Linked DNA regions of Coturnix japonica. The protein of the gene in region 3 interacts with the protein of the main gene of each other region in a pairwise test. Links are inferred from orthologs where the notes say so. Each region holds a gene or a part of one and is shown on either strand. Other genes may lie near its edges.

Region 1 (3,961 bases), on a different chromosome or scaffold from region 3:
AGAGGTGTTGAAGGTGCAAATGACCTTTTCTGTGAGAGAGATGGATAATCAATAAAAAAATCTAAGAGAATTGGTGCAAAAAGAGCAACTCCTGCAAAATCACTTCTAAGATTTAAATAGCACCATTAAAACTCTGCCAAGGAAGGCTGCCAAATCCACGCCCTCAGAACTTCAGAATAACGAGTTCCTCCTCCTAATGCTGGGCTCCCTTTCTCCAAGCTGTTACTGGGAGGTGTGAGTTAATTCCTTCTGATATCTTTTCCTATAGCGCCCATTTCTCAAATAAAGGCTCTATCATTGCCCTCATTTGCCCTATGAAAGGTTTCATGGTATTCTTACTGGGTATAAAAGAAGCACGAAATAACTCTGTGTATGGAGGTCTCAACTACCTAGACATTTCTCCTGGACAAAACAGCAGTAGTTCACAGGCTCCCACCCTGCTTAAGGAGCAGTTATTTACTGCATTACGTAACAAAGATGACACCACAATTTCTCTTAGCAAGACTGCCCGATTAAACCTACAAATGTCTTTCACCTCCTTCATCCCAGTGAACCACCCAAGGAAAGCAGCTTTTCCAAGTCGGCTCAGGGATTTAAACTGCGTACAATGATAGGAAAACTTGACTCCAAACTTAGGAGTACTTCCCCATGAAAACAAGTTCCACGAACCACCTTTTCAAAGTGCTGCTGAAGGTGACACTCCACGTGAGCTCTTGCTGCTGTTTTCCCCATTTGCAAATCTGCAGGAAACTTTCGAGGAGTTCCAATTTCTTCCTCTGCATCCGCTCCAAGGAAAACTCTCTCGTCAAAGTCACCCACTGTTAGAACATACTCCTCATATTCTTTATTCAATGCTTTGCTGGAAGAGAAGTCAAAGTTTTACAGTGAAAGTTAAGCTGCTGAACAAACACATAAACTGAAGCCAACACAAACTCAAAGCTTCTAATGCTCTCAGTAACAGCAGTGCTTGTACATGGAGCTTCCCTACACGAGCAGCCTGCTTACAGCCCCTCCTTGGCTGCCTTCAGCTCCAGGCTTCCCACAGCAGTGCACTGCACGGCCTGTTCTTCTCCCACCAGTGCTTCATGGAACCATAGAATGGATCAGGTTGGAAGGGACCTTAAAGATCGCCTTGTTCCAAGCTGCTCCCACCATGGGCAGGGATGCCCACACAGTGCACTAATCTCAGACACTGCTGAAATCATGGCAGCAGGCTCCACAGTTGAATTACTTCACACACTATCTACCTATCTATCTATCTAGAGAATCATGCTTTTCTGGACAATTTTCCCATCTGCTGATCCAGAAATTTTAGATTGAAACCTGCCAAATGAAGATGCATGTGCTTCAAACACCATTAACATGGACATCTTCAGAAATCTTACATTTCCCTTATTCTTTCCTAAGGAAGTAGAAAAAAGAACTGCCTTTCTTAGATGATAATTAGCATTAAATTAGTTCCATGCTCTCTACTGTGTGGAAACAGGAGAAATCCTCCCAAATGTTTTGAAAACCTAGTAGATAAACATGGAATGTGGGACCATGAGGTACTTGGTGACTCACTCTAAGGCTGCCAAAGCCTTTTTCCCAATTCCCTTCTTGTACCCATTCCCCTCTGTGCTGCAAAGTGAACAGATAGAAAATTTCATAGTAATGTGTAAAGAAAATGGAATCACTCTGGACTGGGAATGGAAAGAGATGTACTGTACCAGTGCTGGTATTCAGGGAAGTCAGATGATTGCACAGGTTGGGTTCTGAATTGCATGTGAAGGTGCTGTGCCCATGCAGTGAGATGACACTTGTTTTTGGAACAGAACTTGGAGACACCTGTGAGATGGAGGGCAAGTCCTTCAAAAGGAAGGGAATCTAGATGTGAATGGAGCTGCCTCCATGGCACAGGAGAAGTCTAAGTGCAGGATATAAAATGTTGACAGAAATTCCCAAATCAAAACAACTGCAGGCTGACTGAGCTCCATTAACATCAGGTAGTGTTGTATCTGCCAGGTCCCTGCTGCTGCTCAAGTTTCCTAGCAGATTCTGATTTCTTCACCACGAACAACTTAAATGAGTTGAACTCCAATATGTCCCACTGTGAAAACTCACTGAACAAAAAACTCATCCTGATTATAAGTCACTGGGCTCACACAGGGAGAAAACGTGCTTCTACCCCAGGGACAAACAGCTTTGAAAGAGCCCATCAGTAGTTAAAGCTCTGTCCAAGCAGAGCAGCAGGGGTTGCATTAAGTGAACTAATTCTGAGCTCTGATTTGGCTGCCTGGCGCTCAGTGGCATCCTCCCTCAACAGCACAGAGGAAGGGAAATTGAAGCTTCAATGCCCCAAGTCGCCACTGACATCCATGATAGTGAACAACCCCTTTGGTTTCTCAATTCCAGCCAACCTGTGCGTGGAAGAGGAACATTTAACCTCTCAAAGGCTGCGGAGCCTTCTGTTTGGGCAGACATAGATTGGTTTCCTCAGATATCATTTAATAAAGAATAGGGAACACTGCCTTATTTGGCACAACAGGAACTATCAATACTATCACTCTTTAAGCAGGAACACTAGCACAGCTCACTGCTCCATAGGGATCAGGGCAGCACCTCCACATCTGAATGCGATCCACACCGTTACAGCGGTGCAGTCACTGCTCACGCTTCTCAGAAAGCAAACAGACCAGCTCAAACCTCACCCTGCAATAATGAATTATCAGCTGCGTTTGGCAGAGGAAGAAGCTCTTGACAGGATCCAGAACAAAACAGAACAAATCTTCTCATTTAAATTAGTTTTGAGACTTAATGTCAGAAGCTCCTGCACAGATTCACTTACCTCCCCTGAAACCTCTGTGCTTTTTTGTGGTTCTGCAGCTGTTGCTCCTCTTTCTTTTGAGCTCTCCCACTGCATTCACAGATTTAGGCACTGAACTGGAGACTAATAAACAACCCTAAATACCTCCCTATTCACATACAAATATTGAGGTATGCATAGTTAACATATCCATGCACTTCAGAGCTTTGATTTGCATCAGACTACACAAAACTTAACAGCTGCCAGAACAACACAGCGTTATCTATGCTGGAAAAAGACCCTAAAGATCAAATTCTATCCTCAGGCAGCACTATGAGCCCACCACTAAACCACATCCACACAACTGCAATATTCCGGTAGGGATGGGGAGCTCTGCCCTGACCTGAGCAGCTGCTCCAGGCCTGAGCACCTTTCTGTGACCTGACATTAAGGAAGAAACTCTGTAGCTCACCCTCTGACACTGGAGCCATCTCAGACCCAGGAGGCATTTAGGCAAGTAACAGCATTGGTTCTCAAATCACCGCAAGCAGTGAGACAAAGTAAGACATGGAAAAAGTGAGAGTTAGCATTCAGAGAAACTGAAGAAACAAAACCCAAGTCCATGATTAGAACCGCAATCCATAACTTACTTATTTTCTGTAAAATTGCAAAGATCCAACAGACATTCTCCTTTTAAGATCTAAGAATAAAAAAAAAAAAAAAGAAAAGAAAGCAGAAACATCTTACATAACAAATCAAAACCATCCCACCTCAACAATGCGACAGCAAGTCGGCCCTTACCAAAAGCACAAGGAGCATTAAACAGACCTTTCCTTTAGCCAAGACCAAAGCAGCACAATGCTGCTGGTAAGAGGCACAGGCCAGGTCAAAGCTCAGGTCTATCCAACCTGTAGTAAATGCAGTACTCTGGAGCTGTGCTGTTACCTCTGCCCCTCGGCAGGGAGGAACCTACTGGGCAAATAGAGACATCTCCACGGAGCTTAGAAATACCTCCAGGAGCAAAACCACACAGAACAGTTTTTCCACCTGTGACCCCAACCTCCTCATTCAGAGCACTGTGTTTAGCCCATGACACACACCAGGATCCAGACAATCATGACAGCTACTCCACAAGATAACATCATCTTTAATTAAAACAGGTTATCACCTGCAATT
Region 2 (4,753 bases), on a different chromosome or scaffold from region 3:
GAGATTTGTTGGTGAACTTTAGTTGGTCCTGAACACCCCTTTGTCCAAATACACTGCTCAATAATAACGCTTTGTTCTGTCTGTAACAGCCATGGAAGGATTTTGAGTGGAATACTCATTTTCTTTAAGTCATATCTGCCAGTGATCATTCTTGGCTTAAGATCAGCTGCCATTTATGTGTTTTATGAAAATATAACACCAGTTTTATGCTCAAAACTATTCTTTTTTAGGTAAAAGCTTCAGCACAAACTGGTTCCCCATATGTACCATAAATGCTATTTATCACAGGTTTTGGTCTTTAAAACAGAAAGATAATGTTAAAACATTTTCATTATCCTTTCCTTACAGCTATCATTCACAAACCATCTTTTATAATTATGGCACTAGGACATTTACATAACTGGGAAAAAGGTCCTTAAACTACATTTCTATTATGTTTGGCACTTGTGTGAAAGGATATTATATTCATGTGCATTAGAGATTGCTTATAAAAGATCAAGACAATAATAGCAGATCAGACGATAAAGGTTCCCTTTTCTCCTCCCAGACAGGCTGTCTCTGACAGAAGAATACAGTTCATCAAAAGTGTCTGCAGGTTGTCAAACTCAGTGAGATTTGGGGACACTCGGAGGCTGTCATGGCCAACAAGAAGATTTTCTGTAGGGTTCTGCCATCATTCACCCTCAGGAAATAATCACTCACTACATTCTGCATGCTCTCATGATAGAGCTCTATTTGAGAGAAAAGAGCCATTTTATCAAAGGACAATATATCCCTTCTCTTGGTCCATGCAGCTTCCATTATCAGACTATAATAAATCATATTTATGTTCTCAGTTAATAAGACTGATTACAATGCAGGTTACAGGCATGGGAAAAGCAAAGCAGGTGAAAAGATGTTTTAATGAAAATATGATAAGCAAACAGCTTCTTGTGAACATTTCAGGCTGTTATTTGTAATGATCACAGGCATTTTTTGATACATCTTCCTTAGCAATGGTTTAAGCTGCATAAATTGGCTTGCCACTTTATACGTCGAAATAGGAAGAATCCCAATGTCCTTCTCATGTTGTCTGGAATCATTATATACATTATAAGCATAAAATGAGTTTAATGTATGTGCTTTGAAAAGAAGGGGAAAACAGAAAATCAGGGAGGACTGATTTTAATGCTGCTCAAAATGATTTTGAAATTTTCTGCTCATCTTTGTTACTAACGGAGCATTTTCCATGAAATTTAGGAATGACATGTGGTGCTTTCATCTCCTTAAAATTAATATACTTCTCTTTCTGTTTTTCTCAATTTCTTCAAAGTTCTTTTTAGAACACTGTGCAAAGACAGAGAGAAAATTCTCCACTCGATGTGTGAACATATCTGTTATTAGTGCTGGGGGGAGTTAAGTGTGTGCTTCTAGAGGAGAATATAGCTCTGCATTAAATACTGGAGTAAACCCTATTAAAAAGGTGCAGGGATATTTAGCTGCAGCACACCTGATGCATTCAAAGGCCAAATTCCTTGGAATCTTTTAAAGTGATTAAGATCTCTTTTGTTAAGAATTCTCCAATGATTTCAGAATGTAACTGTACCTAAATAGCTGATAAAATGTCCTGCTCTTGTCTTGCCAAAAGCTTTCTTTTATGTTTTATTGTTGCTTTTTTTTTTTTTTCGTAGTCATTTGGTTTATGTTTAGCATCATACTTTCAAGACAAAGTTAAAAATTTAGAGAATAATTTCCTCCTGCTAGCACATAACGCTGACTAAGTACATCAAAATCTACAGCACTTGCAGAATGCGAACATTATGCTTATAATGTATATAATGACTCTAGACAATATTAGAGGGACACTGGGATTCTTCCTATTTTGACAAAGTGGCGAGCAAATGCAGAAGTCTCTGTGGTGTTGTGTGTCTGCAGGAGCTGTTCTGGTCACTGACACTTCTAAAACTCTCTTAAATAAATGTTAAAGCGTTGTAATGGGCCTGGCAATGGAGAATGACCATGAAATTTCCTTAACCCTCTTAGGGTGCTTCAGCAGAAGTGATCTCACAAGAAACAGTAAACTGCTCTTCAAAGGCAGTATCCTGATATGACAACAGATGTAGATAATGCACTTCATGATGGAACTGCTTGATACAGAGAAAAACATGTTGTAACTGCCTTCACCGTGAAAGGGGTTTAAAAATGCTGCCTGCCAACTCCACAAAAAAACAGAGCTGCTATTTCAGTTAAAGGCCAGTGGATTGTATTTTTCATGTCAGTTTTCACTAACCTCAAACATCACTGTTATGACAGACTGTCAACCAACCAAACCAGAACTGTGGTGCCATTCAGGCAAGAAGGAAGAAAGCAAACACAAAGGAAACTTAGAAGTCCAAATAGTAAGAGGGGGTGCCTATGAGTGCACTTTTGTGCAGTGATACTGATTACTGAAAATGAAACACTTAAAAGAAAATAAACCCAAAAAAGTGCTTTCTGAGCCATTAGTGTTTTCTTGCCTGGCAGTTTCTCTTTGTTCTGTTTCATGACATCAGCCTCGGTGGTTGAAAGGGTGTTCTGGGCCAGATGTCAATCACACTGTCTGACATAAACAAAAATAGCTAAAAAGACATGCCAGCATCTTCCTTTTGTTTTCCCATTAGCTCCATTTTTCTTTTCAGAGGCTGACAAAAAATTACTGCCTCCGAGTGAATTCAGTAATGTCACTATATATCTAATATCTAGGAGACCTTTTGTTTTAGCTTTACTGGGCTTAACCACAAAAGACACTTGACATTGACAAAGAGTCTGTCAAATACACAATGATCAGTGCAATGAAATCTCTCATGACAGAAGGGCACTATTCTGCACCCCCAGCCTGCAGCAGCCTGTCTGAGCAAAATGTGCTGGAGCACACACAGCAGCTGAACCATTGCAGAGCAGGCCATAAGCTGAGATGTGTCTTGTTTAAAGTGTCATAGTATATTAGTGTAATTAAAACCGCCAAAAGAATAGAAAAGATAGATGGAAATGTTACATTACTTGTTTCTAGAGATTAACCTCCAGCCAGAACTGAAATACAGAGACACATTTTGCATGTCTTAGAGCTCAGATATGGAAGAAAACAAGCCTGAGAGTATGTCTCTTGAAGTGTGAGACATGAAGTCATAGTTCCTGTATTTACACAATAAAGCAGAAATAGCATTTCAGACAGGCACGCTGTTTTCTCTCTGATTACAGCTCCTGTTGTGGCTGTACTCTGCAAAGCAGCTGTATCATCTCTCAGCTACTTCTATTTTACTCTCTCTGCCTTCGTTCTTGGAAGATCTTGAGGACCCTTGTGCTGGTGTCAATGCCTTCTGCTCCCTTGGCATCTGCCAGAGTTGTGTGGGCCCCGCCTGGAGGCAGAGCACCCTATTCCTGCCGGTGGCTGCAGAAGCCACAGCTCAGCTCCAGGCTCAGCAACACCCAGCTAGGGAGATGTCTGAAGAGTGGCTTCAATATGACCTTTATATGCCAGGCTGCATGCTTGCTTCTCTGCTGATTCTATAGATAAAACTGTATGGCTTTCTGAAGTTGACCCTGAAAATTATGTTCCCAGCACTGCATGTTTTCCTTCCCATGCATCATTACCTGTGATAACTATTCAAGCCTAACTAGTTATGAACTCTGTTTCTAACCATGACACAAGTTAAATCTGTTGGTAAAAAAGCCTTGAAGTTTTTGTGGACCTGTTCTGCTGTATAGTCTGAACCTTGGTTAATCCAGAATCTGGAGAGGACATGATCTGGCTTCAGCAGTTCTGAAACACTGCAAAAGCAGCATGGCTTTCTTCTAACGTAAGCCTTACATTCAAGGAGAAGATGCATTAATCACGTAGGTCTCATGTTCATTTCTTCCACTATAAATGAACTTCAAGGCTTTGCCCCATTAGTTGGTCAGTTTGAAGTTAAGAGATGTTAAATATAGGCCTTACATTTTCGGTTTCCTCATACTTCCTCTATTTCCCAGCTTTAAATATCAGTTAATGACTTCTCCATATAACAGTACTCTTTAATTTCTGGTCAGAGGCTGTAAATGTGCACTGTTAGTCAAAAATATGTTATCTGCATTTAGTGTTGGCTTCTGGAGCCTTCACCACCAAGTTACCTCACAGTCGCATCTCTCTTCACGTGATTTTCCAGGTACTGCCAGGAGAAGAATGGAAAATGACTATGAAATAAAAGCACATTCTGCTCCCATTACAGGCAATGAAAACTGTGCTTTTACTTCTACTTACTCATAATGGTGGGGGGAAAAAATGAAGTGGAAACAAGCACAACAAAACACCTCTGCCAGCTATCTATAAGCTAACCAAGGCTTCCACTAATGAGGTGGTCTGGCATTTTGAGAAAGACGGGTTTTTCCAGAAATGGAAAAAATATGCTGTTTTTTTCCTTCAACTCTGAGAGCTTAGTGAGAGAGTAAGAAATTGCATTTCAGAGGGATAGCAAACTTTTAATGCTCTCAGTATTATTTAATACTTACAGACACCAGTGTAGTTTCTTGTCAGTTGAATGTTTTTGCATGTTTATTTGTGAGATTACTAAATACTTTCCTACAAACTAGTTATTTGCTGTATTTACAGATTCATCTCAGTGACTGTGAAATTCCTGAGGATGTTATTACTTTCAAGTCAGATTAACAGAGTAATTTCCAGGTAAGATATTCTGGAAGATAATACCATGGACAATTGCATAGTCTATTAAACAGAACTGAACTGTTTGTGGAAAAGATA
Region 3 (3,961 bases):
AAGAAATAACCAACACATTCATTTTTCTATAAATATCCAGTTTTCTTGTTCTACGTGTTGTTCTCAGATAGTTCATGCGCTGGACTGGAGTTTGAAATATAAGTTCCGCGTAGATTTGTATTTTAATTTTGGGGAATTTGATACCAACAGGAATTCTATGTCTGTGTGATAGTGCAGCAGTTTGTTCTCATCAGAAATGCTTTCTTCCCTCTGCTCCACTCATTGCTTCCATGTGATTCTATCTGAAACAGGTTAAGCTATTTCTATAATAATTAGATTTCAGTTTGTGATATTATTTTGTTTTAGTTTGGAGTCTGTATCCCTTGTGTAAGTAGAATATAATACTATATTTATATATGTAAGTTAGTAAGTGAATTTCTTTATATTCATAAAGATAAACCAAGGATGGGAGGTTATCCTGTTACAAAGCCATCTTTTAACTTGGCTGCGGTTGTTGCAGAAACAATTGGACTTGCTGTTCAGGATGAATCCGTAAGTATTACTTACAGTTTTCCCACATAATTAACTTTTTTGCCAGTTGTTTTGGAAAGAAATGTTTTTCAATTTGGCATTAAAATTCTGCAGAACTTATTTAGAGTTCCAGTAAGCTCACTCTAGCTTTCTTTTTCTTACGTAATAAAGGATTCCTATAGCAATAGGGAAGGTAACTGAGCTGACTTGTCTGCACTCAGAGGAGACTGGAGGGCTGTGGTTCTTGCTATGAACGTGTATTTCAAGTTTGACAAAGGCAGTGGCATAAATCTTAGGCACTGCTTGTGCAGTAATCAAGTCATAGCACACTAAGAAAGCTTACTTGGTGTTGAGACTCTTGATGTATCCATTGTTTTTGCTTTGTAAGTACAATTAAGATGATAGTACTTTTTTCCTTTAAGAAGAAATAGTACCTGTGTTTATATGTATGTATCTGAAGGAATTTTTAAGTTTCCATTAGATTTCTTTAAAAGCTGCTGGTGAAAAGTTAATCTTTTTTTTTTGTTACTTTTCAAGGTGAATGGTTATATTTGAATGGGGCTTTGGAGTACTTATGTCTAAATCTAGCATGCTTACAGACTTTAACAGCTTTTAACACTTCCATTCTTTGTTTTGCTTCATGATTTGCAAGGAGTCCCAAAGTGTACTGAGTTCTCCCCACGCTAGTACTGCGATGAACCAGGCTCCAGAGGGCATACGTTCTGAAGACTCAAGAAAGCACTCAGCTCCTGAATCAAGAAATGAAGACAACAGTTTGGGGTGTGTTTCCACTTGTTAAAATAATGTTGTTTTAAACAGTGTCTTCCTTTAAAGGTACAGACACAGATATAAAACTATTTTCATATTATACTGTTTTCTTTGATGTAAGTAAGTCACCACTAGAAGCAAAGGAACTGATAAAATGCAAAGCTGTGGACTTTTACTTCCCTTTCAGAGTTGTGCTTTGTGAGCTTTCGATGTACGCAGTCCTTCCCTGAATGATCTTCTATATGTTTTATTGATTGCAAGTGAAAACCAGAGCAGTTCCAAAACAAAACCAGAAAACCACAAGAAACCGAAAATAAAATTTTTACTCTTTCTCTTCTCTTGCAGAAGCTTTGAGAGTCTGTTGTCATGGTTATAAAATCTGTTCAAGAGCCTACATAGATTATTTTCTCAACCCTTCCCTCTTTCTACCATTTCACAGCGCTTAAAGGACAGTCCTTCAGTAGGAGAGATTCCTTTCTTCCTAGACCTAAAGCTTCCCTGTTCTTTTTTTCTTCTGTTTTCTGACAGCTTCTTGCAGATCATTGATGGAAAGTGCTTAGATTTTTTTTCCCTCTCTTTCTTTCCCCAACCACCAGAAAATGATTTAATCTCTTACTGTGTTCAGTTTTTCAGGTCCATCTCAAAACACTCCACCACGTGTTGACTGGGATTCTCAGGTAGTTTCTCCTGTTTTTGGAGCTTCTAGCAATACACGAAGCAACTCAAGTACAAGTCATGCGTCTTGTATTTTAGATTCTGATTCGAAGCATAATGTCAAAATCAACCTCTTCAACCATCCTTCCGGTTCTAGATCTCATAAAAATAGGTCAAAATCTGAAGATGTTGCTTTTGTCGCACCACTGAATCTTGGAACCGAAATCAATTCTGTTATCAGCCAAGTCTCTGTCAACAGGCAAATGGTTGTGAAAAAGAATAATAATGAAGTTGCAACTTCAGTTGGAAACACTTGTGCAGCTAAAAATGAGGTGATCAAGAGTGATTTCCTTCTCATACACCAGAAGCAGCCAGAGGGAAGGTGTGCAAAGAGAAAGAAAGCTGAAGATGAGAATGAAATTAGCTGTGAAAAAGCATCTTTCAACAAAGAGAACTCTGTACCCTTTCTATCAGATATTCAGCACGTTAATGGGGAACACACAGGCGATAAGCCCTTGGATCTGTCTGATCGCTTCTGTGGAGTTCGTTGTCAAGAGAAAAAACAAGGAAATGAGGAGACCTGTAAAAATAAACTGAAGCAGGTGACTCTGTATGACGTTTTTTTGCAGCTAGGGAAGCCCAATCATGAGGGTTCATCGTCAGTTCAGAATGCCAACAACGAGAGGAGCTTGTTTGGCAGAGGTATGCAAGAGGAGCCCTACATACAAGAGGCGGTGCTGGCAAAAACATTTGCAGATACAAAAAAACAGATCCAAATGAAAGAAGAAGTCCCTCCCTTAAAAATTACACCACTGCCAAGTACTGTAGACACAGAACAACTTTTTAATGATGTGAAGGTATGTTTTTTCTCAGTTTTTCTTCTCTTGAAATGCTAAATGTAAATATTGGGAAACAATAAAATTGCAATATGTTGTTAGGTTGCCAGTGACCATGTACCAAACAGAAAGAAAACAAGGACAGGGCACGGAGAGTCTGAACCAGCATCTGTACTTCAACCAAACCCCTGTAGACTATCAAAAAATAAAGTACAGCCAAATGAGCAAGGTAATTCTTCATTTTAGTACCTTATCCTCATGGTTTATGCTACAGATGAATAGAATTCTTTATATCCTGCCTTTTCCCACATTGATCATTTTTCTGCTTCATATTTAGTCATTTTCTGTTCTGTGCTTCTCAAGATTTTCAGTTATAATCTTCTGTATCTCATTAGGCTTTACTTTAGTAATATCTTTCCCATATTCTTTTGTCACTGTATAATGAATATATCATTGACATTCAGCTGTAAACTCAACAAATAATGAATAATATTATATCTCATTTATTTAGCATGTTTGTCTGCACAGTGCCTTACTGCAGCACATGAATTACAGCTAGCTTAAACTCAGGCTTCCTGAAATCCTATTTCACTGTCTTATTTATTTATGTTAATTTTTGTTTTAAAAAAAAAAAAAGAGAGAGAGAGAGAGAGAGAAACAACAAACCCTGAAATGTTTTCTCTGAAGATTCAGAGTTTGGTTCTGATTTGTCTTTTCTTGTCATATTCAGACCTGAAAGAAAAACCTTTAGAAAACCTTCAGTGGAGCATAGACCCAGGAGCTGACCTTGCACAGTACAAAATGGATGTAACTGTGATTGATACAAAGGTGAGCCATCGCTTTGCAACAGGTTGGCATGTTCCATAATGTTGGACAAAAAGACTTTAGAAGTAATATCATGACCTTCATTCCAGGCAGATAAAACCTACTTGCTAACTAAAATCAATTTGGGACACATGATGCTTTTTCATGCTCCTATATAATGTTTGTTTATTCAGTTATCCTGTAGCATTTCAACTGTCTTGTTGTATTTGATAGACTTTGCCATGTGGTGGGTATTCAGGGTGAAACAGATGGACTTGATGGTATCTTAGAATTTTGTTGAACAGAAAAATGTTTTAAATCTCATGATTTTTCCAGTATGTCTGGAATAGACTACCCAGGGACACTGTGGATGCCCCATCCCTGGAGGTGTGGTGTTCAAGGCCAGGTTGGACGGGGCCCTGGGCAAC
Region 4 (3,961 bases), on a different chromosome or scaffold from region 3:
AGTGAGCGTCAACTCGTCATAAGAGTTTAATACTAAACAACGTATTCCAATGTGAATTAATAAGAAAAGGCTTGAAAAAATTGCAATGGCAGTTTGCTGTTAGTGAAGCTCCAAATTTGGGTGTTGTTATCACTGTCGATCTCTCAAGGATAAACGTGCAGAAATAAAGACAAGAGCCTTTCTGAAGCTGAATGTCCCTCTGGCTCCTATTTCACTCCAGGCTTCCAACACTTTACCTTTTAAGTTACGCTATTTCACATTTGTTATTATAGTTTCTAACTTTTGTAGCTAAGCATCAAAGTTACCTGAAGATTTGCTCCAGGTTTTCACTGGGGGCATTTTTCAGCCCCGCCAGCATGGTGTGAAGGCGGCTCAAGCTGTACGTTGCTATGGAAATGGGTGTCACATAGGGGTTGCTCTCCTTAATGTACTTGCGGCCAGTGAGGGGGGTCGACATCCGAAGCGATTTAGACTAGAAAGAAAACAAAGCATCTCTCTGTACATTATTACAGCACTCAGACCTTGTAAGAGACTTAAAGTGTCAGGTGCTAGAATTGTTTCTTAGCTGGTTACAATATATATCTATCTATGAAAGGAGAGCTGGAATCAAACAACCCAAACCAGTTCTCTCCCAGTAACAACCATCAGCATCAGGTCTATCTGTGGCTTGGATGCCTGTGTCAAATACTAACACAGAAGTATCTGAGCAGTGACAAAATGACCTCACGCTGAAACGCCACAATTGGACAACTCCTTCTCCACAGGAACATCAAAGGACTGTGCCAGACTCACTCTGTCAAAGTGCTGCTGTAAATTATGCTTCACTTGTACTCGCTCAGCTGTTTCCATTCCTGAGGGTGTATTTAAGCACCGTGTGAGAGTTCCAATTTCTTCATCTGCATCCTCCCCGAGGAATATTCGCTCATCGAGGTTTCCTACTGACAAGACATACTCCTCATAGGCCTTGTTGATGGCTTTGCTACAGGGGAAAAGAGAAAAAAAGCCCTTTAGTTTAGACAGCGCTTTCACTACCTGCTTTCTGACTGAACACACTTCTTGGCCTATCTGAAGGCCTCAGAACTTGCTTTTTCTTCCTAACGCTTTACATCGTATAGAAAAGACCATGGAAACATGAACAAGAGCAGACATCGAGCAATGCTATGCTGAAAAGGCCTCAACCAGCAAAGAGCTGAAATGCCTTTTAATATAATATATAAATAGTAATATATCTATAAATTAACTAGCTAGTATTAGTGATAAGATACAGGTAATAACCCAAAGGGACACAAATGCAGACCAAAGCACAAGCTGACTCACAAGCTGTCTCCAAAGTTTCCAGGATCCAGAAATCCAGTCAGATTTTCATCTTTTCCTTTTAAGAGCTGAAAGAGCAAAGAACGGAGACACGGCAGTCGTTAAAGTTCTGAAGACAACAAGTAGAGAAGCATTTTCTGCATCCTGAATGCACCCACCAACCTTCTTGTCAAAAAGTTTCCGAATGTACGGCTTCCAAAAATGCTCCTTGATGCCTTTTGCTTCTAAAACTAATCCGTAATGTAATGAACACAGCTTTTCAATGATGCAGGGGGGGTCAGATGATGTTTTATAATCCTTACTGTGAAAGTCTTCAGGCAGACCTATAGAGAGACAAAGGAAGTACTGTTTGATTCCGAATAGTCATACCTTAGTGAACTCACATTCTTTGCTATGATGCCCATGTAGCCTGAAATTAAAACAGAAAACTATTTTGTCCCCTCGAAAGAAAAGCTGTACACCCTCAACTGGATAATCTTATCAGAACTGCCTTTCAAGTGACAAACCCAAAGAGCTCAGATATTCAGTGATAAATAGCATCGGTTCTAATAGACAAATGATGAAGCACTTATGAGCTGTAATATTTATTCAAATAAGTTCAGTATTATTTATTCAGTAAATACAATACAATACAACACAGTACTGAAAATGAACCATACCATTCTGCCTACCGCCCACCTTCACATCCATTTCAGCAGCCTCAGAGGTTTGTGCAGATTTTAGATAAAGACTTTTTTTTTCCCAACATACCTTTAAAATTGGGATTCAGAAGTTCTTTGTGGTTGGGGCACTGGAGAGCATTTCCATACACCAGATCCAAAGCACATAACAAGAGATGATAGGAATTGACCAAGTCATCACTGATCATGGGAAAATTACCTTCAAAACAAGAAAGATAAATGAGATTAATTAAAAGCAGCATAGACTTGAAATTATTTCACAAAACAGAACTATCAAGATTTGCATTTCCAATCAACAGTGGAGTATTTTAAGCACAGATTTTGGTGACCGGATTGTCAATATCTGGATCGAAACACAGGGAGTAAAACAGACACAGCTAAAACAAAGCACATATCATTGCGTTTGTTCACCTTTATGTTCAGTTTTCTGATCAGAGTCTATAAATAAGTTCAGCAGATGAGAGCAGCTCTATGGCCACAAGGGTCACTACCTTCCTTTGCAGCATACACCAAGTGCAGGAACAAGACTGACGCTTTCTGACTTGTGAAACCAAACACAAGATGCTGAGGTTTGCAGAAATATCACGGCGACAAGCCTCAACTTGCTGCTGATGTGTGGTTGCCACGCTAAGGATTACTGCCGGCCCTCAAAACACAGCAAACAAATGGGGAATATTCAATTCCTCCAGTGGTGCACATTCACTTCACATTGTTGTACTGCCACACTTCATAAGGTACCACTCGTCACTTATTAATTTTGCAGTTCATAAGTACTGTAATTGTTTGTCTCATAAAATTAATGGGCTGTTATCAACACTGTGTTCCAGTCCACAGAGTTAATCTGTACGTCTGAAACTGTTTGCCAGTCAACACGTACTTAATGATGACCTGCTTACTCAAACATACCAACCAACACTCAGCAGGAACAAGACCTGCCCAGACCCTCTGTGCCTGTTCAGGAGCAACTTGCAGCCTATGAAGCAGCTTCTACACAGGACACAGTTGTTTGGTACAGCATCACACCTTTCTTCACATGCCTGCAAAGATCCAGGGATATTGCCAGTGACTTTTCCCAAATGAAGCCTGCTGGCAGCGCTCTGCTTGGTGGTGAATAGAAAGGCTCAGCTGTACAGGACAGAGCTACTGCCAGAAAGTCCATAGTGAGACAACGTACTGCGTCCTATCCTCAGAAACAACCAGGGAGATACTGCAGGAAGCCTACACTGACTGACCCTGCAATCCCAAGCAGTCCCACAAGCTCTCCTTTCTCATGAAGTTCTTATAATAATAAAACAACTCCCTGGAAATTACAGAAGGACCAGAATACGACCTAACTTACGTTCAAAGGACTCCCAGTGAACCCATCCTGACCGTACCCGAATCAATTCCTACTGTAGATGATGCTGTACAACTGAACAACTTAAGCCAAAAATGCTGGGGAGCTTCACTGCCCCTCATACAAAAGGATTTACTTCCATTCCCTTCTGTCTTTTTCTCCAATCAGTCATTAAAGAAGAAAAATGACTGAAATCCTCTGCTATTCATATCAGCTTTAAGGGTGCTCTTACAATAAAGGCAATACTTGCACGGCAATATACCGGCTCCTCCCTGCTTTGTTTCCAGGGAAGCCTGTTAACAGAGCATTTCACATGTATGATCCAAGGGAATCTGAGTCTTCCAGCCAGGCACTTAGGTGAACAAATCCAAGTGCTACCTGTGAGAGTGCCTCGAAAGTCCCCTCAGCTACAGCCTCATGACACAGTTCTGTGTTACAGAACAGAATCCATTATGTATTATCACTGTTATTTGAAACTTATAAGGAAATTAAAATCATTTTGTTCCTAGGGAACATAAAGCAATAATTTACATTAATTACAACTATCAAAATATGAATTCACTACAACTCTGAGCTGATTTTCTTTTAGTATTACAGCCTAAATCGCCAAAATACAGCAAACCCTGGAGCA
Region 5 (4,615 bases), on a different chromosome or scaffold from region 3:
TGTTTTGGTAGCCTGAAGGCCCTTTTTAAACTCCTGGCAAGCTCCTTTCTTCCCTCCCGGGGAAGGAGTCAGGAGTAACTCAGTTGGCAGCAGTGCCAGCAGCCTGCAGAACAAGTCTGCTTTAGCCAGAAGGCACATCGGGGAGCACAGAAGACATGGGTGCTGCAGCAGGAGGAGGAGAAGCCTTTCCCTCCAGCACTGCTTCCCACAGTGCTGCACCAGCAATGTCATCATGACCTATAGCTATGACCCAAGCAGTGCTTCGTCTAGAGCTTGCCCCACAGCAGATAAATATAGGGCTTGAGCTCCAGCCTCCTCAACCTGTTACAACCTGCGGCTCCTGATGATCCTAAGATGGATAATCAGACCTGTGTGTGCATAAACACACAGGTCATGCTGCCTTGGCCCCACCTGCCATGATGTCTTGTGACACACGGGAGCAGCTTGCTTGGAAGCCACCAAGGGGAATTAAAGGGAAGAACCCTGACCAAACCCATTCCTGAAATCTGGCCTGTTTGCTTTTGCTTTCCAGAAGAAAATCTGTAGCACTGCATTGGCCAGGCCATGGGAAGACAGTGATGTGTGAGCCCAGGTTTGAGCTGAGAGCATCATGTCCTCTGCTGGGCACACACTCAGTTACCTCAGCCAGTGCTGAGACATGTGGTGCAGAGCTCAATCAATGCTCAAGAATGAGTTTAATTTGCTAGGTTTTTTAGATTTTTGAAGAGAGCATAACTGTAAAATAATCGCAACATTGGGACGGTTTTCTGTGGTGAAGGAATGATTCATTTTCACTCTTGCTTCTTTCTTCCTGGTCTTGCTTTCTCGCTTTCCTGATATCCACAGTGCATTACTTCAGTGTTCAAATCTATGGAGCATCCTCGTGTTCGGTGATTGTTCTAAATGCAGCACAGTACTGAAAATCACGCTCCGTTTCATTTCCTTCATCTATTATAGCATACTTGGCACTTCAGTTAACAGCCTGTGAGGCAAAACAGAAAACAAACTGGCCCTCTGTATCTATGCTTTCTGTGAAGTGCTGATGAGAAGGAAGGTGCCTATAGATAAATGCAGCATATATACCTTAGAAGGTATAAGTGGAGCATTAAAAGGCCATTTTTACAGTGTGATTAATATGCCCAAGCATTGAAACAATATTTACCTAATGACAGAAGCCTCTTCTTCATGCTGGTTAGCCCATGACAAAGCCTTGTTGGAATCCACATCCATCCCCTCAGCAGACATAAGCCTGCGGACAGGTTTGCTGAGGAACACCTTGGATCACATTGGTTGCTCACAAAACAGCTCTCCGGGTCCAAGAGGATTTCTCCATCAGCAGCCAGCAGCAAAGCCCCTTTCTAGCATCTGGGTGTGCATGACAGCCCAGTGCTGGAATGTGCTCCTCTGCAGCACAGCTTTTAACTTGAAGCTCTGGCAGGGTGCTGGGTAGCTCTGGCTCAATGACACAGAGGCGCTGAAAGTTAGTCACTTGGTTTGAGAACAAGGGGAAGCCCGGCGCATTGTTCTGCTGCCTTTGCCTCCAGCTCCCTCGCGATATAAGCACAGAATATATATACCCGTGATAACAGCTAGAGGAACATGGACTTCCAGCGCAGAGGTTACCCCTATGCGATCCCGGAGAATGAAGAGATCGCTTACAGCGTCTCTCACAATGCCTACAACTCAACGGGAAATGAAGGCGAGAAACCAGTGTCGAAACTGCAGCGTAGGCACAGTGACGTTAAACTCTACAAAGAGTTTTGTGACTTCTACGCAAAATTGTAAGTCCGCGCTGCTCAGCTCTGGGCTGTAACCGCGGTGACATTATTGGCATATGGTCACTGTGTTTTTTACCGTCTGGGCTCTGTAAGCCATTCTCTAAGGCAGCCTTTACCACAGCTCTGTGTCTGATATGTTGCCAGTTGTAATCATCAACTAGAATTTGAGCTGGTGCTGTGAACTTAATCAGTGATTGCGTCAGACGTTTTTATCAGGGGTTGAAGCAGGGTTGGCATTTGCCAAGTCGTCTCTGACTTCAGATTGTTTGCTTGTTTTGGGCGAACGTGTAGGCTGTTTCACTAATGCAGGACTGTTGCATGCATCACTGTTTTTACATACGTGTTTTTACTTGGATTACGTTTTTTCTCCGACAGCACTTAGTATTAAGTAACTTGTAAGTTTAGCACCCTTAATACTCAGGAACTGGTGAGGTGATGGTGAGGCTCGTGGTTTATGTTGTGAATACTGCTTGTTCAGATTAACGCAGAGTACGGGTGAAGTGTCTGACGTTTTTCCCCCTTCAGAAAACATACGTAATCCATGTAGACCATTGGCTAACTGTATGCTTAGCTATACTTTATACAAATAATCAGTGCTGTTTTTCAGTATGCTGATACTCTTAAGTATGAAATAGACCCTTCCTCAGCCTGACCCCCTTTGTGAAATTTGGCCACTCGTTGTTTCACTGTGAGGACAGTGACCCTTTTTTGGTACTGGGGCCTTAATTAAGTGTAAGACATCTGTACTGACTGTTGTATGTGTGAACACAATCCTAGTGAAGCTGCTAATCCCCTTGATACTTTGCAGCTATCACACTCATTCTGTGGTCACATGCCTTTGTGAAGCAACCAAAATTGCTATTTATTTGAGCTTTTATTTTGCATCACCTGTTTGCATTGCCCTATGCCTGGGTCATGGTGGAGCACCCCAGCACTGCAGCCAGAGTATTTCTACCTTCTCCTTGTCCTTGGTCTGGTGCTGAGGAGCTGCAATCTGCTTTTATGGAGATGAACCCTAACAAACCAACCAAAGATCCTATGACTTTATTATTTCTACAAGTTGTGCATAGCTTGAAGTGATTTTACAGTTTTGTTTACCTGCTGTGGTTTTCAGCAACCTACCATGTATAATATTTTAAACTCTTCCACACTGCTTGTTTAGAGCTTTTGAATTAATGTTGTATTCTGTTGTATTCTCGTATTCTAGAATTGTGAATTATTTTAGAATTAGCCTTCGTATTTTCCAATGTGAGGTCCTTAATTATTGGGAATTATTAGTAATAGGTGAACGGTTGGACTGGATGATCTTTTAGGTCTTTTCCAACCTTGGTGGTTCTATGATTCTATGGTTCTCCTCATAAAGAGACAGCATCTGTAACAATGACCAATAGTTATTATAACGCATTGATTTTGTTTCCAAAGAGTTTGGAGCCAGAAGGAAACAGTTTTATTTCTAAGGGATCACCACAAGTCATTAAGTTCATGGAAAGGTTTTCACTGGACAGCTTAGCATTAGGCTGATGCCATTGGCTTTGGAAAAATATAGAGAACCAGAATCAGTTGTGCTGCCTTTGGAACTCATTTTCTTTCTGTTTCTTGTTTTCATGACAGCAACATGGCAAACGCACTCGCAAATGCCATCTGTGAGCGCTGTAGAGGGGGCTTTGCGCCAGCAGAGAAAATCGTCAACAGCAATGGCGAGCTGTACCACGAGCAGTGCTTCGTGTGTGCCCAGTGCTTCCAGCAGTTTCCGGAAGGGCTCTTCTACGAGGTAAGCTGGGAGAAGTAATTACAGGCTGATCGATACCTTAGCAACTGCTATGGAAGAAATGGAGTTCCAAAAGATTATGCCTTTTAGAGGGGAGAAGGAAGAAGAAATGTTTCCATGGCTGTTTGGAGCATATCAGTGCGTATAACCTTATTTAAGTGAGGAAAGAACTACTGGAGATTCCTCTCCCTCTGCAGATTTTTTTTCATACATATACATTTCATTTCATACTATATATTAATCACAGAATCACAGAATTGTAGGGGTTGGAAGGGACCTCTAGAGATCATCAAGTCCAACCCCCCTGCCAAAGCAGGTTCCCTACACCACGTCACACAGGTAGGCGTCCAGGTGGGTCTTGAGTATCTCCAGAGAAGGAGACTCCACCACCTCCCTGGGCAGCCTGTTCCAGTGCTCCGTCACCCTCACTGTAAAGAAAAATATTGTATCAGAAATACAGGGAAAGCATTCTTCTTAGAATAGAGTTGTCAAAGGGAAATCCCAGCATCCTGCAGTCTTTAGGAGGTTTATTGCTGAGTGAGTGAGTGAGGCCTGCACAGCTTCTGAAATATCACTTGACCTGTAAGCCATCATGCTGAGGTCAAGGTGCGTTGACAGCCAAAATCAGATGAGGCCTGAGTCAGGTAAACCCAGAGTTTAATATACTTTCAATGGAAAACCCCACTCACCTTTCTTTAACCCTAGGTGTAAGGAAGGGTAGAACATGGGAGACAGGCAGTTATTACCTGAGGTTTGTGGATGGCTAACTGAGGCTCTAACAGATTAAAGGCAAAGTGCACACAATTATCAAATGTTCAGTTGCTTCTGAAAATTCTGTTCTAACCCACTTTCACATGCAGTGCCCATCATTGTGTCAAGAGCACAACATTTAATCTTCCACAGGGGTATTCTTAATTATACAGAGTCATGCTGTATGGTTAGAAGGAGACGGGGAGAGGAGTATTAATTGGAAAAAGAGGCTGGCAAAGGGGATTCCTGGGCTTACTTTCTCTCACCTTTCTTGAGGATCAAAAGGTTTTTCAGTGCTGTAGAGATAGTGTAGCACAAT

What was found.
Region 1: the proteins of RBBP8 (region 3) and RBL1 interact in a two-hybrid assay, tested with the Homo sapiens proteins (2 studies listed by BioGRID and IntAct). The link is inferred for Coturnix japonica from reciprocal best matches to the Homo sapiens genes RBBP8 and RBL1.
Region 2: the proteins of RBBP8 (region 3) and LMO4 interact in binary tests that used the Homo sapiens proteins (3 or more experiments, as listed by UniProt). The link is inferred for Coturnix japonica from reciprocal best matches to the Homo sapiens genes RBBP8 and LMO4.
Region 4: the proteins of RBBP8 (region 3) and RBL2 interact in binary tests that used the Homo sapiens proteins (3 or more experiments, as listed by UniProt). The link is inferred for Coturnix japonica from reciprocal best matches to the Homo sapiens genes RBBP8 and RBL2.
Region 5: the proteins of RBBP8 (region 3) and LIMS1 interact in a two-hybrid assay, tested with the Homo sapiens proteins (2 studies listed by BioGRID and IntAct). The two-hybrid records come from large-scale screens. The link is inferred for Coturnix japonica from reciprocal best matches to the Homo sapiens genes RBBP8 and LIMS1.

Annotation. Positions count from the first base shown.
Region 1 is NC_029535.1:560,343-564,303, forward strand, and holds part of RBL1 (retinoblastoma-like protein 1), read right to left. Parts: intron 3,486-3,961; coding exon 3,436-3,485; intron 3,430-3,435; exon of another isoform or gene 3,258-3,429; intron 3,251-3,257; exon of another isoform or gene 1,766-3,250; coding exon of another isoform or gene 1,710-1,765; intron 860-1,709; coding exon 673-859; intron 30-672; coding exon 1-29. UniProt on the Homo sapiens protein: Key regulator of entry into cell division. Directly involved in heterochromatin formation by maintaining overall chromatin structure and, in particular, that of constitutive heterochromatin by stabilizing histone methylation.
Region 2 is NC_029523.1:13,757,925-13,762,677, reverse strand, and holds the start of LMO4 (LIM domain transcription factor LMO4), read left to right. Parts: upstream 1-1,687; 5' UTR 1,688-4,675; intron 4,676-4,753. UniProt on the Homo sapiens protein: Transcription cofactor. Plays a role in establishing motor neuron identity, in concert with MNX1, acting, at least in part, to disrupt LDB1-LHX3 complexes thereby negatively modulating interneuron genes in motor neurons.
Region 3 is NC_029517.1:92,790,465-92,794,425, forward strand, and holds part of RBBP8 (DNA endonuclease RBBP8), read left to right. Parts: intron 1-394; coding exon 395-492; intron 493-1,123; coding exon 1,124-1,251; intron 1,252-1,864; coding exon 1,865-2,750; intron 2,751-2,831; coding exon 2,832-2,958; intron 2,959-3,459; coding exon 3,460-3,557; intron 3,558-3,961. UniProt on the Homo sapiens protein: Endonuclease that cooperates with the MRE11-RAD50-NBN (MRN) complex in DNA-end resection, the first step of double-strand break (DSB) repair through the homologous recombination (HR) pathway.
Region 4 is NC_029526.1:4,019,154-4,023,114, forward strand, and holds part of RBL2 (retinoblastoma-like protein 2), read right to left. Parts: intron 2,194-3,961; coding exon 2,065-2,193; intron 1,638-2,064; coding exon 1,477-1,637; intron 1,383-1,476; coding exon 1,318-1,382; intron 980-1,317; coding exon 793-979; intron 473-792; coding exon 306-472; intron 1-305. UniProt on the Homo sapiens protein: Key regulator of entry into cell division. Directly involved in heterochromatin formation by maintaining overall chromatin structure and, in particular, that of constitutive heterochromatin by stabilizing histone methylation.
Region 5 is NC_029516.1:122,924,867-122,929,481, forward strand, and holds the start of LIMS1 (LIM and senescent cell antigen-like-containing domain protein 1), read left to right. Parts: upstream 1-1,504; 5' UTR 1,505-1,599; coding exon 1,600-1,781; intron 1,782-3,389; coding exon 3,390-3,549; intron 3,550-4,615. UniProt on the Homo sapiens protein: Within the IPP (ILK-PINCH-PARVIN) complex, binds to F-actin, promoting F-actin bundling, a process required to generate force for actin cytoskeleton reorganization and subsequent dynamic cell adhesion events such as cell spreading and migration.